Linked DNA regions of Coturnix japonica. The protein of the gene in region 1 interacts with the protein of each later gene in a pairwise test. Links are inferred from orthologs where the notes say so. Each region holds a gene or a part of one and is shown on either strand. Other genes may lie near its edges.

Region 1 (3,519 bases):
TCTATAAATAAAACTCCTTTACTTAGGTACCTGTAAATAATCTGGCTTCTCACTGAATTGAGAAGCACACAAGCACCTCTTACTGATGTCTCTGTATTGCAAATCACAGTCAATTATGCTGCTGTACTTAAAAACCAGCTGCAACCAGTCAAGCATGATGAAGTGGTTTTGGCACTGGACATTGAAGATGGCAGGTACCTGAAAGCACTGCCATTACCTGAGCAGGAGTAGAACGTCACGTTCTCCCTGGGATTCAGCTGAAGCACATGTAGGAAATACTGCCTTGTACCTCATCTAACAAATAATTACATACATTAGCAAAGTAAAACAAAAAATGAGCATGTAGGATAAATAATTCCTTATTAGATTTTCTTTTCGAGAAGATTTTGGGGGATGGTAGAAGGGAACAACAGGACGGGACTAGACAGGTGACCTGGAAAAAAGACCATGTGTGGAAGAACTGGATGTTTACCTTTACCTCTCTAAGGGATTATAACAACTTTCTACTTACATACGTGTGTGTAACTGAAGGCCGACCTGCTAGCAAAGCAAAATGGCTCTTCATGTAGATATCTGCAGGGGAGAAACTGAACCTTCCCCACACCAGCTGCACCAGGGTCCCACCAGACACCCCCTAAGGCACTTGAAAGGCCACCTGGAAAACTGCAACTCAGAGTTCAGGAAGTTTTATGAAGTTTTCTATCTGGTTTCCAGCTGAAGGGTTTCTATGAGATCATTAGAATTCTGTGCGGAAATCCTACTTTCAGCAGCCTGAATAGGAAGCTCAATTTTTGTTCTATGTGAAAGAGGAAAACGTAAAGCAGCTTTTCCACCAAAAGACTGAATGGGTCTCCTATGTTCTCCACATTTCCCTTTAAAAGCAGACAGCTGTGATAAACTGATTAACTGTCATCCTACACAGACTAGACTTTAGGAGAAAGGAGTACACACTTCTTACCCTTTCCTGGAGTGTGCTGACTTACAGGAGATAGAGATGAGATCGATGCTGGAAGAACTTTTTACTTGCTTGAGTTTTTTTTTTGTTACTGAAATATATCCTTATATATTGATATATATAAGGTCAACTGCAAAGCAAAGCCTTCTCTCTCTCTCTTTTCCCCCAAAGAAAAAAGGAAAATCACATGCATCCTTGGGATTTTGCTGACAACTGTCAAACGATTAAAGTCATGGAAAGATTGTTCCCATCTTCAATCAATATTTTAAATACCACCAGCTATTATTTCTTTATAAATTGTTGCTACTGTCTGAAGAATAACAAACCTTGCTGATTACATGAGAATTCCATTAATACATACTCAACTAGACTAAAATAGTTAACCCAAGTACCTGCACAGGTAAAATACAGAATGCTCCATGTAGATTTTTAAACGTGTCTTGTTGAGTAGCGACCTGCAGCATCTAATGCTAAGATTTTTGTATTTAACAAACCAACACCAATTCACACTAATCCAGAAGAGGAGCTACAAGCCAATTCAAATCCAACAAACACCAGGTTATAACTTGTTTTAGTGTAACTTGTTTTATATAAGCCAATGTTTATATAAATCTCAGATTTTAAAAGGAAAGTTATATTGGGATCCATTCTACTATGCGTTATCTCCTGACATTTCTTACAAGCTAAATAAGGAAGATTAAAAAAAAACCACATCTTTTCACACTGCAGAGTAGCTGCTATTTACTTTGAAATCTATAGAGTAAAGCACAAAATACTGTAGTAACTTGCACCTACTGTAAAGCAGTTTCCAAATAGATGATTGAAAGATCTTTATTGTCTCCAAGGTTCTGAACTCAGTTCAAGTTAATGAAGGTTAGAGAAATGTCAGCAATTCGGTCAGCTGAGCCCCTTACCTGGTTTGCCACTACTGCGTCTTGTGGATCGTCTGGTTCTGCAGCTGCCAACAATGCTTGCAGAGATAACAACACTGTTCTTAGAGTCATTGCTGCTGCCCTGAAATGACAATTTGAAAGTGACTTTGCCAAACCTATAGACATCTCTGCCACAACTGTCATAAAACAGAAGATATGAGAATATATAGAGATCTTTTAAACCTTGATGTTAGCATCTTCAGCTGGTACAGTGTAGAGGTATTAAAATACAGTTTAACTGAAGTGAGCTTTCAAAAAGGGACTTGGTCATTAACAATGCTTTCAGTGTCTGGAAAAGAACCCCTGACCTACACAACTGATCTTACCCACATAGCAGAATTCATTTCACTTGCTCAAAAAAAAAAAAAAAAGTTAGCCTGAAGTTTGTGTTGTCCTTCCTTACTACCCGTAACAGCACCTTGCTCAAACTCTGGGTATCGAACTGTCAGCCAATGTGTGCTCCCTCTGCTGGCACTCCTCATAGCAAAATAGCATAAACAGAAACAGTGACCTGTATTTAAAATTCTTACACCAGAGAAGGAATTTTACACATTTGACTTTTTTTCCATCGCATCACTTAACTTCTTTGGGGGAAAAATGTAATGTAAACAACTTACACAGTGAATCACTACCACAACAAGAAAAGGTCAGACAGTTACAGAAGCGACCAACTGAAGGTAGTCCCTCAACTTCCTCTCATTTCAATGCGATACCACTGACAGTTCTGACCAGCCATCCTGGTTTTAGCTGGGATAGAATTCCAGACAGCGTAAGAAAACATTTCTATAGAAACGATGGTGCTCTAAAGGCAGTTGGCCACCTCTCTGAAAGAAGTCTGTTGAGGACAATATGGCTCTGGAGTCTACACCATTCATCTCCTGAGAGTTCATCATTTACCTTCATCTCAACATCTATCGAGAATAAGAGACTTCGGCCACTTTTAATAAAAGGGAAAACCAGGCACACATTTAACGTCAATCACCACTCAGGAAAGAGGTATGAAATCGTTATTTGCACACTTATCTGTAAATCTGTAACAATTCAAATGTTGTTTCAATACATGTTGACCATGAGCACCATCTCTGATCTACCATTTCAGCTGGCACACAATGGCAACCACATCAGGACCCGCTGTGCTGAGCAGTTCAGCAGACTCAGTTGTGCTGCCAGCACTGACAGACCCTCAAGGTAATGCACACGGCTATTTAACCTTTCACTAGTACTGAGGCAGCGGAAGTGGGAAAATGCAACACCTTAAATTCAAGTTAGACAGTCACAGTACATGAAATGCTAAAGGAACGTTGTGAAACAAGCATAATCAGCACAAGCGTCAATGAACAGAAAGTAGTTTCTCCTTTTCAGAAGGCTGGAAGTAAATGCAGTGAGTTTGTTAGAAGGGGTAGGGAGGAGTTTCATCAGTCGGTCCAGACAGAATTGCTGTCTGTTTCGTTTCGTATTTCCAGCCTCAGATTTCAGAAGTGTGGCTATTCTCCAGTACTGACACACCATCGTGAGGTACGGCACAGTGCACCAATGCTGGTAGGGTGTCAGAGGTACAGCTGTGACACCTGAGCATTATATTCCCAGCTGTATGCATGAATGGTTTTCCTCCTATGTTGCTAACCACTCAAA
Region 2 (3,519 bases), on another chromosome or scaffold:
CTCTAAGAGAAGCTAACTCAAGGAGTCAGTTCTGATTTTATGATTTATGTTACTTTATGAATATATCTATAACATAGCAAAGTTTAGCTTTTACTTTTGTTTTGTTTTCTTCTGATGCAGACTTTAGGTGTTGGAGTAATTACTGCCTTCAAACTCCTTATAAAAGTACTAGCTGCTGTACACAGTAGTATATTTTGAACTGTTTCTTTTCTATTTAAGTAATTAATTTTTGTATGGTTGGTTTACTGTGCATTGCATACATGTTGCCCATATAATTAAGCTTAAGTAAAATACGTAGTATCCCATTTATTAGATCTTTGCACTATCACTCACTGCTTTTGCACAGTAAGTGTTCTGTGTATAACTGAATTCTTCCTATCATTTTTATATTTGACAGATTAAATGTGGGAAAGCAGAGGCATCTTATTACGTGCTTAAATAAGTAGCTTGCAGCGGGTTGTCCTAACATGATATCTTGTGCTAGATACAAAAGCAAAACATTTTCAGGGAAACTTCAACTAGTCCATTTCCTCCTTTTGGAAGAGAGGTGGGAAAATAATTACATAAAAATGAAAAAGAAAAACAAAGCACAAAACAAACAATCTTTACAAAAGTCTTGTCCTGTTACATTTATGGTGCACTAAAAACAACAAAAATACAATGTTGGGTAAAAGTTGTAAGTCCAGGAATAAATAAAATAAGAGCATCAGTCATTTCTATCACTGGGGAACTTTCTTCATCTAAGCACATATGAACAATTGATCCTTGTAGTCATATATAGCAGTAAACATTAATAACTTAACAGTCTGTAGTCAGTGCTGAAGATATGGAGCATTATTGAAAGATGGAGTCGAGCAGGTGGCACTTTAATATGTTCAGTGTCATGGTTGACTCTAAAGACTAGTAGAATGAAATTACTTGAGGTTCTAAAGATTTAAAAAGCGAACTCATTTTGCTGCACTAAGGAAATGCTACTGATCAGGCTTTCTGTGTCCCTTTTTTCTAGGCTAGAAAATATTAACCCTGAAGAAAATGACATGGTAAGCCATTCTCTGAGGAGATTTCTTGATGTCAGTCTTATATCTTAGAGGCTTAAGTTCAATTGAGTGGGTTTCAAGAACTAAGATGTGGGAAAAAGAAGAATTGACACACTAATAATGTACATCTTTGCTGCAGTATGAAAATTCAATAACTTCACTCAGTCAATTTACAATTCACATGTGCCTATTAATTAAAACCCTATATTAAATAAAATATATTAAAACTTCATGTCTGACTAACATATAATGCTGTTGGTAGACATTACAGGAATTACTGAACAGAATAAACAATGCAGACACAGGGATAGATATACTGAAGAATGGAGCTATTATTCTGAATCGAATACACAGGACCAAAGAACGTAAAAAGAAAATAATAGCTGAGGAAATGAATGCAGTGATAGAGCAACGTGATGCTGCTTTGTCTCAAGTAAGTCTCTACAAGTATGTAATCACTCAATGCCAATATATTTATTTATTTTTTATTCTACTTTTGGGGAATAAATTTACTTTGTTAACTTTCTTCTGCAGAAAATCTCAATATATTAAGATCAATATTATAGTATTATAATAAATGGCTGACTAACAAGCAACAGTTTCTTCAAGGCAGTAGTGGTCTCCAATCTATTTCACAGGAAGTATTGTGTATTCTTTCTACCTGGTCACTAGCTGACTCTTTAAAATGAAATAAATATAGTATTCGTTATACTAAGTAATCTAAAACAGTTTTAAGATCTTAACTTTCCAGTATTCTTTAGCTGTATAAAGCAGTTTGTGACTGGGACTCATGGATTTGTAAAGATTTATAAGTGATAGAAATGCACAGTGAGGGAAGATAAGACTGCCACATGTGACAAAGCAAGCAATTCTTTCCTTTATTGCTTTACATTCAGGAACTGAAAATCTGCATGTGGTCATTGACTCTTTAACATTTCTGCTAAGTAACTTAAAACAATCTGATGTTTTCTATTCTGCTCAGATCAATCATTCTCTCTGCTTTTCCTATCTTTACAGAAGAATATTCTTTCTCTTCACCCTGGAGAGTGTCTCCTTATTTTTCCTATCTCAAAGAAGAGTTGTTATTTTGTTTTGTTTTTTTTCCAAAGCTTTCTTTCCCCCTCCCCCCCCCCCCCCCCCTTTTTTTTTTTAAGCTAGATTTGACTCAATTGGACCAGTCTGTAGAAAGAGGAATACTAAGTAGGGGGCTACATCTCACAAAATTATAGGTTTGATGAACATCCTTACACTTTCAGGCAAGGCAAGAAATTTCATCTATGTCTTGTTCCAGTATTGAAAATTTCAATGTCTGCTGAATGTGAGCCTATATCTAAATAATTCTTTAATTTTAACAGAATTAGATTTAAGGTCAAATTGGTGATCTTGTCTAGTATTAATGATGATTGCATTTATTTTGTATTGATGTGTATTTCTGTAAAAGATATTCTTCCACTCAGTCTGTAATTCTCATTGTTTTTTGTTGATGTTGTTTTTGCAATCATTGTCTTTGCATTCTATCCTGCTGCAGCCCTGAAAGATTCATTTCTTGGTGCCTAACAAATTTTGTGTTTGTATCCTATGTGCATTACAAAGGATGTTAATGTTGGAAGTTCAGTTTTTCGCTGTGTTTTTGTTTGCTTTTATAGTAATGAGGAGCAGTGTAGCTACTAGGGCACATACAACTGTTCTGCCAAAAAAATTTATGCTCTTTGGTTTTTGAGTTATGATTGGATTTCTTCTTTGCACAGGGCATTTGGAAAGTGGGCAGCTTATAGGAAAAAAGCTTTTACTACAAGAGAAGGATCTTTAGATAGTTTTGTTTTTCTTCTACGAGATTCTGCTTTTTTGGTGAAGTAAACTTTCAGACACACTTGGACTTTAAATATTTTATGAAGGATATCAGAATAATGTCATTGTAGGGTGTTATAATATACATTTTAATTAAGTTGATTTTTAAGCAACCTGTTCAAGGAATAATATACAGACATTTATACAAGTCTTTCTTTTAAGAACTTGTAAATTAATAAAGATCATTATTCTATATAATAATGGGTTAATTGCCATAGTTAGCAAAGCTGTCTTTTAGGCCTGATAGCAAAAAGCACAGATAACGTTACATAGGTAGTGCAGCTGATAAAATAAGTAAATGAATAAAGCAAAACACTCCCTAAAATTTTCAGTATTTGGTATTAAGCTGTAATCCTGTGATAGTGTTTGCAGTTTATAAAACCATTTCTTAAAATTAGTTATTGTTAATAAAACTTGATTACTCATGTGTTGTGCTATGTGCATATGTGATACTTTTATGACTGTAGCTATCAAACCTAGAAAATAGCTCCTATCATTTCAACTTGCATCTCTTACTTGATGATTCCTTGGGAATTCATACAGTACTTGAATTATTAGTAGTCTTTTGTTAACATTGCAATAGCAGTAGTTATTACAGTGCTAACAGCAAGAACAATAGGAGAGGGATTCCTAC
Region 3 (3,519 bases), about 45 Mb from region 1:
TGAAACATGCTAAATGTTGCTAGCATAAATTCTGCCATTTGATGTTGATGTGGTGTTTGGCAATGTGTACAGGTTCTCCAGACCCAGTTGGATACCTTACTTGAAGGACAAGAGAGCATTAAAAGTTGCAGCAACTTTACAGCCCAAGCCCTCAACCATGGCACCGAAACTGAAGTGCTGCTGGTGAAGAAGCAGATGAGTGACAAGCTGAATGAACTGGCTGAGCGAGATTTCCCCTTGCAGCCCCGTGAAAATGATCAGCTGGACTTCATAGTGGAAACAGAAGGCCTGAAAAAGTCCATTCACAATTTGGGCACTATTTTAACCACCAATGCTGTTGCCTCTGAAACAGTTGCCACAGGTGAGGGACTGCGGCAGACTGTGATTGGACAGCCCATGTCTGTTACCATCACCACCAAGGACAAAGATGGGGAGCTCTGTAAGTCGGGGAATGCTTACCTCACTGCTGAGCTCAGCACGCCCGATGGAAGTGTAGCAGATGGAGAAATACTTGACAATAAAAACGGCACTTACGAATTTTTGTATACTGTTCAGAAAGAAGGGGATTTCACTTTGTCATTGAGACTTTATGATCAACACATCAAAGGCAGCCCATTTAAACTGAAAGTGGTCAGATCAGCAGACGTATCCCCTACCACTGAGGGGGTTAAGAGACGTGTTAAATCTCCTGGCAGTGGTCACGTAAAGCAGAAAGCTGTGAAAAGACCTGCAAGCATGTACAGCACTGGAAAAAGAAAAGAGAATCCAATTGAAGATGATTTGATCTTCAGAGTAGGTAGGTGACTTCTCCGCTAACTACTGCCATAAGCAAATGCAATTCAAGGAAACTGGATGAAAATTTCCCAAGTTAAATTATTTTAACATTAAAGCTCTAAGTAGAGCAACCTGATAATACCTTTAGTCCTCTTAATTATTTCACATATGCATTTTAAAAGCACATGTTTCAGGAATTCTATCGGCAAATATTTAGTTAGATTTTGGGGTTGAGAAATGCATCCATCTGATTTATCATGAAATATTTTACGTGGCAATATTACAAGATCAATGCTGCAGATTTATATTGAACTACTTCTTTAAAAAATTGCATGGCAAGAGACAAAGTAGAAGGATTTCCTCTCTAAAATGATTAACATAGAGGTTAATCTAATTAATTAACCAGGATCTACACATGTTAAAACCTATGATCAAACATAGTTATTTCTTGATATCAACATAGGACAAAATTATTATTTCCTTTATTTGTTGTTTGTTTCTTTAAATGTGTTTTGTACTTTTTCCTACTATCTAAACGTGTTTCATCCTTCATATAATGTAGTAGTATCTCAAAGTTTGTGGGTTTCTAAGGGTTATAAAAATATAGATGTCGTTTATTCTGATTTTCTTTCAGCTCTTTTGGGGCAATCTCTTTTTAAGCTATCTAAGAATTCATAATCTATATGTTATATAAATACCTAACTTATGTAGTTAAAAGCAGCAACAACAACTTTTCATGTTGTACAGCTAAAGAAAAAAAAAAATGAAGTTGACTTTTGATATATACAAGTCTGTATATCATATTTGAGCACTTATCAGAAAAGTAGTTTCTCTCTTGTAGCAGAGAATGAATGGTGGGTTTTCCTTGAGGGTTTTTCAGTAATTCTGTTGAAAACTCATTGGGATACCATGTGTCAGTTGCCCTTTCTGTCAGACTTCTTGTCTGATAGGATTTCTTTAGGAATCTTTACTATAATAGACAATGTATGCAATAACAGTGGCTTTATATCAGAAAATGCATTCAGTACACATGGTTTGCTTGCTTGTAAGACATTATAATGCAAGCTTTGCATATAGCTGCTCATTAAATGTCCAGCCTTTCCCAGATGGATAGTGCATTTCCTTGTAAGATAAACAACTCCTAAATATAACATCTCAAAGCATTTGCTACAGAGTCAATAACATACTGTTTTACTGTCAATAAGGCTGCATTTTCTGATCATTCCTGGGACAAAAGTTAGAAATAAGATGTAGAATAATTCACACTGAAGTTGAGCTGAGCCTTCTCAACAATAACTGCTTTTTGTTGTCCAAAGCTGGTAGGTGCCTTTTGTTAAATTAATACCCAAACATTGCTTTGCCTCTAGCAGGAGGGTGTTCTGGTTGCAAAAGGTATTGCTGAGTTGTTAAAGAAAAAAAATCCCTTGCACAGAGGCAGAGTAATTAGTTCTGGACTTCTGCAGGAATGGAAAGGGATCTGTGGCTTTTCCCAAATATGATTTCACTGCTAGTGCTGGTTAAGAGCAACAGAGAGTATGTACAGATATTTCCTAGATTTTTCTGGGCACCTTGTTTTGAGACAAGGTTAAACAAGAGCTCAGGATGATGCCTGAGCCCTGCCTGAAGGAAAATGTTTCTTTGATCTCTTCTGGAAGTGGTTGTGCCACATCATATGCTAAGAAGAGCATATGCTAGGTTGGATGAGCAGATTTGAAGTCCTGTCATAATTTTAAGACTGTTAGCATTCTTATTATAAAGCTTTTAGTATGGCCTGACATGATTTCAGGTTCTAATTTCTGCTTCTGTATCCCTTGCTTCTAGTGAGTAGCTTCCAACCTAACTGCCAAATAGTGCTATAGCTCTAGTTGTTCCTGCTGTTTCAGTGATTCTCTCTACTACACCATGAACTCTAATACGGCCTTGAATATTTTCTGAAAAGTGTAGTGCCTTTTCATTGTAGTGCAATCACGACTGTGTGCTTTATTTTGGAGCTTTTTCTCCTTCCTTTTCCCTGTCTTCCTCACTGTGTCTTCCCATCATTCAAAGGAAAAAGAGCTACAGCTGTAGCTTTTGCTTGAGGAAAGCCCTCAGGAGTTTCCACATTTAAGATGTTACTGAAAAACTGAACTGGGAATAATGCTTAATCTCATTCCACATTTTGTTCTTGGCTACTCATTTCACAGAATGATCCTATATAGAGATGTCCTGGTGGGATTATGTATGCATCATCATCTAAGAAGTCTCTAAGCAGTTGCAGCTGTAATGCTCTAGCTTCTTCACACTCTTCCAAAATATATGTAATTAATAAGTTAAAACTTCTGACATTTATGCAGAGGTTGCCTTCAGGAATCTAAGATTTTGTTTAGCTCCAGTTTTTAATCACTCAAGAAATTTGAGGTTTGGTCCATCTGTTGATGAAGTCATGCAAAATGCTCTTTTCCAGCACAACTGTGTATCTGTTTGGATCCCACTGTTGAATTCCTCTGATAGCCCTGGCCAAATGTGGATTTTTGTTTAAAACTATGCAAGATAAAGCTTGCACTTGGGCCACCGGAGATACATATGGCTGTGCTGGAGAATTATACTGTAATATTCCTATGGCACGCGAGTATATGGAGCATGCTATTGTATTCCATTGAAATATGGGCTTTTATGCAGATGTAAATCAATCAGCTCCCAGCAGAAGATCATTCTTGTGTGAATATTAAGAAATAGTGTTAACACAGTATTAGTGAAGATAAGTGT
Region 4 (3,519 bases), on another chromosome or scaffold:
TCACTTTATGGAATACATGGGAACAGGAAAGCAACACCTGTTTTACAAAGTAAAAAACAGAAAATTATCTTTAATCCATTCTAAGTCATCTTCTTCGGGTGACTTGTGCATTCTTTCTGGTTAAAATACTATCTTCAGTCTTCTGTAGGAATTACTGAATCAGTTACAGCTTAAACCAATGTGTGAATTTGGAGATAACAATACATGGAGTGGCAGAACGTGTGAGATGCCAACTACAGCACAATGTTATGGACATATTATGGACAATACTTATAACAAAGGTGTTATAAAAGTATTATAAGTGTTATAAGATGTTTCTCCCCCCCCCCCCCGGCTTTCCCATAAGCACATAAAAATTCAAGAAGTGATGTAAATCAAATGCAGCATTTCATACATTAAAATAAAACTACATCAAAATACAAAATAAGATGAAAAAAAAACAAGAAAAAGAGAAAGTGTGTTCACAGGCTACAAGAAAACTTCACCTTTATCTGACCTACATTCCCACCAAATGCTGATGATCTCCATCCTGACAAAAGATAGAGTGAGACAAAAACAGTGGTTGGCTCTTAGAGGAAGGGAAAATGGGGAAAGGAGTGGGGAAACCAGAACAAGTAGTGTGCACTATTGAGCTGGCAAACACAAAAGGATTAATGGCTGGCTGCCAGCTGAAGGGAAAGCTTTTAGATACAGTGGCTTTTTTCCCTTGAGGGAGGAAACCTAAAAGAAATTCTGAGGACAAGTAAAGAAAAGGATTCCAGGGGCATTTCCCTTTTTGTGTCAAATCTAAAGTAACCTTAATGACTGCTGTCTTTTGGTCCCTCTTGTCCAGCTTTAGACTTCTAGGGTAGAATGGTCTTTTGCCAGATCCATCCCACTTGTCTTTGGACAACTCTACACCTACAGTTAATGATGTTCATGTAGAGGGAAGCAAAATCCTTCCATCTAAGGTTTGTGAGAGCAGCATTCCTTTCCAATCAGTCACTCGTCACTTCACGTTTTCAATATGATACATGAGAGGCTGTAATAAAGTGCAATGGATGTGCTCATGCTACATGCGTGGCGTTGAATAAAGACACCAAGGTAAAATGTTATCTGAAGAAATACTTCTTTTCAAAATGGAAATAACTACTGAATTAAACTACAAAGTAAGGAAATTTGCAAGAAAAGAAAATATAATGTACATTGATTAATTAGCGCGTATTTACAATTTTGATTAACAAGGCCAAAGTTTGTACCTAATGGGAATTTAAATGGAGCAAAATATAGCCTAGAATTGTGTTGCAAAATCAAACAAAACTGCTGATTACCTTTTCCACTACTGTCATAACTGCATCAGTGAACAAACGCTACCGACCTTTCTCTACCATCTCACTTGCAAAGTAGTTCAGAGTTGGCCAACACAGCTCTACACAGCTGCTAACGACTAAATGGCATTCTAAAGTTGAACCTCTTGGTTCTTTCTTCTCTTCCTCCATATAGTGACTTTTAGGAGTAACTCTGGAAAATCTTAGTTACACACAATGGTGTAGTCCACAAGTTACACACGTACCTGAGGCTGAAGTGCAAACTCTTCCCTGCATATTGCGCAGGGCTGGATGGAGTCTCCATGCTGAATGGATCTCTGCTTTATTTTCGCCCATTCTTCAGCAGTCAGCGGCAGGGATGGGGGCTCAACTAGTCCTAATTTCTGAGCTGCAGACAGTTAGAACAACAAATCACCAGATAACGTTCATCATTCATTTATTTAAAAATACTGCATACAGATGCTGCATACAAATTTATCATCACATAAACCACTGGCAGGCAACATACCTCCTAATACTGGCTACCTATTCGCTAGGCAGTCTCAAATGATAACTGTGAGGTACCATGCTGAATGCCCATGATAAATCAGTCTTCTCGAAGAAGGAATTTGTGAAAATACAGTATTTCCCCCACATATGGGATATAGGTCAGCATCAGTATCTCAGTAGTGAAAAAAATGATGCTAAGTGGTACAGTAAAATGAGACCTATGTCATACTGAGGAGCAGAAGAAACATCTGTGGACTGAATGAAAATAGTGGAGGAATGCCTGAGGTATATAATCTAAAATACGAGTCCATGATGGGGCATCCATAATATTTGCTAAAATCAGAAAAGAAAAGGTATATTAAATAGTTAGAATGTAAAGCAATGGTGCCAGGTAGAGGGCTGTGGTTGTAAATGGGAAAGGGTCAACTCTATCACTTGTACCACACAGTGGATCCAACCAAATTCTTGGCATAAAGCTTCCTTATAGCAAAGAACATTCTTCAAAGACACCAAACAAATTTGGTTTCATATCTTACCTTTACTAAAAACATATATCAGGCTTCACCTGACAGTAATATTGAAGAGTATCAGTGAATGAGTAAGAATAGAGGATCTTGTGTGGATGGTCCAACACACACGTGTAGATAGTCTTTGCAATGACAGAATCTGGATACACAGCAAACCAGTCACAGTGTTAAATACTCGCAGAATAAAAAATGCCCTTTATTTTCTTCCAGTCACTGTGGTCAGAAACTGTTCTGGGGAAGACAGTGTGACTGCATTGGGGAAGCCTTTTGTATGTGCCCGGAGTGAAATAAATAAGTAAATAAATAAGTAAGTAAAGCTTATTAAAAACTTCCACAAAAAGATGATTAATGCTGCCAAATAGGAAGAGATTGGAGGCAAAACTTAACTTCTAAATAATATAAACCAGATGGGATATTTGTGAGGGAAAGCTATTACACAACACAGTTGATGAAGGAAAACTGGCAGCAGGACACAGAAGAAGTGATATGTGATTGATGTAAAAGGCTCTGTGAAGATATTTTTGAAGCTGCACTTGGAAGAAATGTAAGTAACGAAAGCCTACATTTATCACAGCTCAGGAGATCCAAGAGTTTTCATTCTTATGCACTGCTCAGAAGCCCAACCTGCTTACTGACACACAGCTGAGTTATTTATCCTAAAATGAACATTAGCGAAGTAATTACATACAATAACCTCTAAGCCCTTATAATTAGCTTTTAGGACACAAGCCCCCGTTGAGAAAAATTTAATGACCGAACCCTCGGAGGTTGTTTGATTACCTACAAACTCAAGAAGAAAAAAACACATTAAATTACATTTTCAAAGTTGCTTCACAACTTAAAGTTTTAAACCACAGCGTCCTTAAAAAGAGAAAGTTTGACACAAGCATTACACATTAATGAGAGATTACAGGTGAAAATACTAATGAGCAAACACAGACACAAAGGCAATGACTTCTTAGAATCTTTCAGCACATTCTTTGCAATCGGTTGCACAAACAGTCATGTAGGATCTCTCAGTCAGTGCTGGGATTTAAGGAGAAAATACTTTGTCTTGTAGTTGCAGAGAACATGCTCACACTTGGTCTGCATTTTTTCACCACATTTAGCTTCCAGAATCACTCGTTATTTGTATTTGCGTTAACCCCAGTAGCTCTCTGCTGGCTTTGCCCCCGGAATCCTCTCCCCTTTCAAAT

The links. The genes of interacting proteins can lie anywhere in the genome.
Region 2: the proteins of UBE2K (region 1) and MIPOL1 interact in binary tests that used the Homo sapiens proteins (3 or more experiments, as listed by UniProt). The two-hybrid records come from large-scale screens. The link is inferred for Coturnix japonica from reciprocal best matches to the Homo sapiens genes UBE2K and MIPOL1.
Region 3: the proteins of UBE2K (region 1) and TRIM2 interact in binary tests that used the Homo sapiens proteins (3 or more experiments, as listed by UniProt). The link is inferred for Coturnix japonica from reciprocal best matches to the Homo sapiens genes UBE2K and TRIM2.
Region 4: the proteins of UBE2K (region 1) and RNF32 interact in binary tests that used the Homo sapiens proteins (3 or more experiments, as listed by UniProt). The link is inferred for Coturnix japonica from reciprocal best matches to the Homo sapiens genes UBE2K and RNF32.

The regions. Positions count from the first base shown.
Region 1 is NC_029519.1:62,470,468-62,473,986, forward strand, and holds part of UBE2K (ubiquitin-conjugating enzyme E2 K), read right to left. Parts: intron 1,970-3,519; coding exon 1,870-1,969; intron 1-1,869. UniProt on the Homo sapiens protein: Accepts ubiquitin from the E1 complex and catalyzes its covalent attachment to other proteins. In vitro, in the presence or in the absence of BRCA1-BARD1 E3 ubiquitin-protein ligase complex, catalyzes the synthesis of 'Lys-48'-linked polyubiquitin chains.
Region 2 is NC_029520.1:33,578,276-33,581,794, forward strand, and holds part of MIPOL1 (mirror-image polydactyly gene 1 protein), read left to right. Parts: intron 1-1,006; coding exon 1,007-1,040; intron 1,041-1,299; coding exon 1,300-1,470; intron 1,471-3,519.
Region 3 is NC_029519.1:17,714,480-17,717,998, forward strand, and holds part of TRIM2 (tripartite motif-containing protein 2), read left to right. Parts: intron 1-72; coding exon 73-796; intron 797-3,519. UniProt on the Homo sapiens protein: UBE2D1-dependent E3 ubiquitin-protein ligase that mediates the ubiquitination of NEFL and of phosphorylated BCL2L11. Plays a neuroprotective function. May play a role in neuronal rapid ischemic tolerance.
Region 4 is NC_029517.1:7,502,547-7,506,065, reverse strand, and holds part of RNF32 (RING finger protein 32), read right to left. Parts: intron 1,696-3,519; coding exon 1,553-1,695; intron 38-1,552; coding exon 5-37; intron 1-4. UniProt on the Homo sapiens protein: May play a role in sperm formation.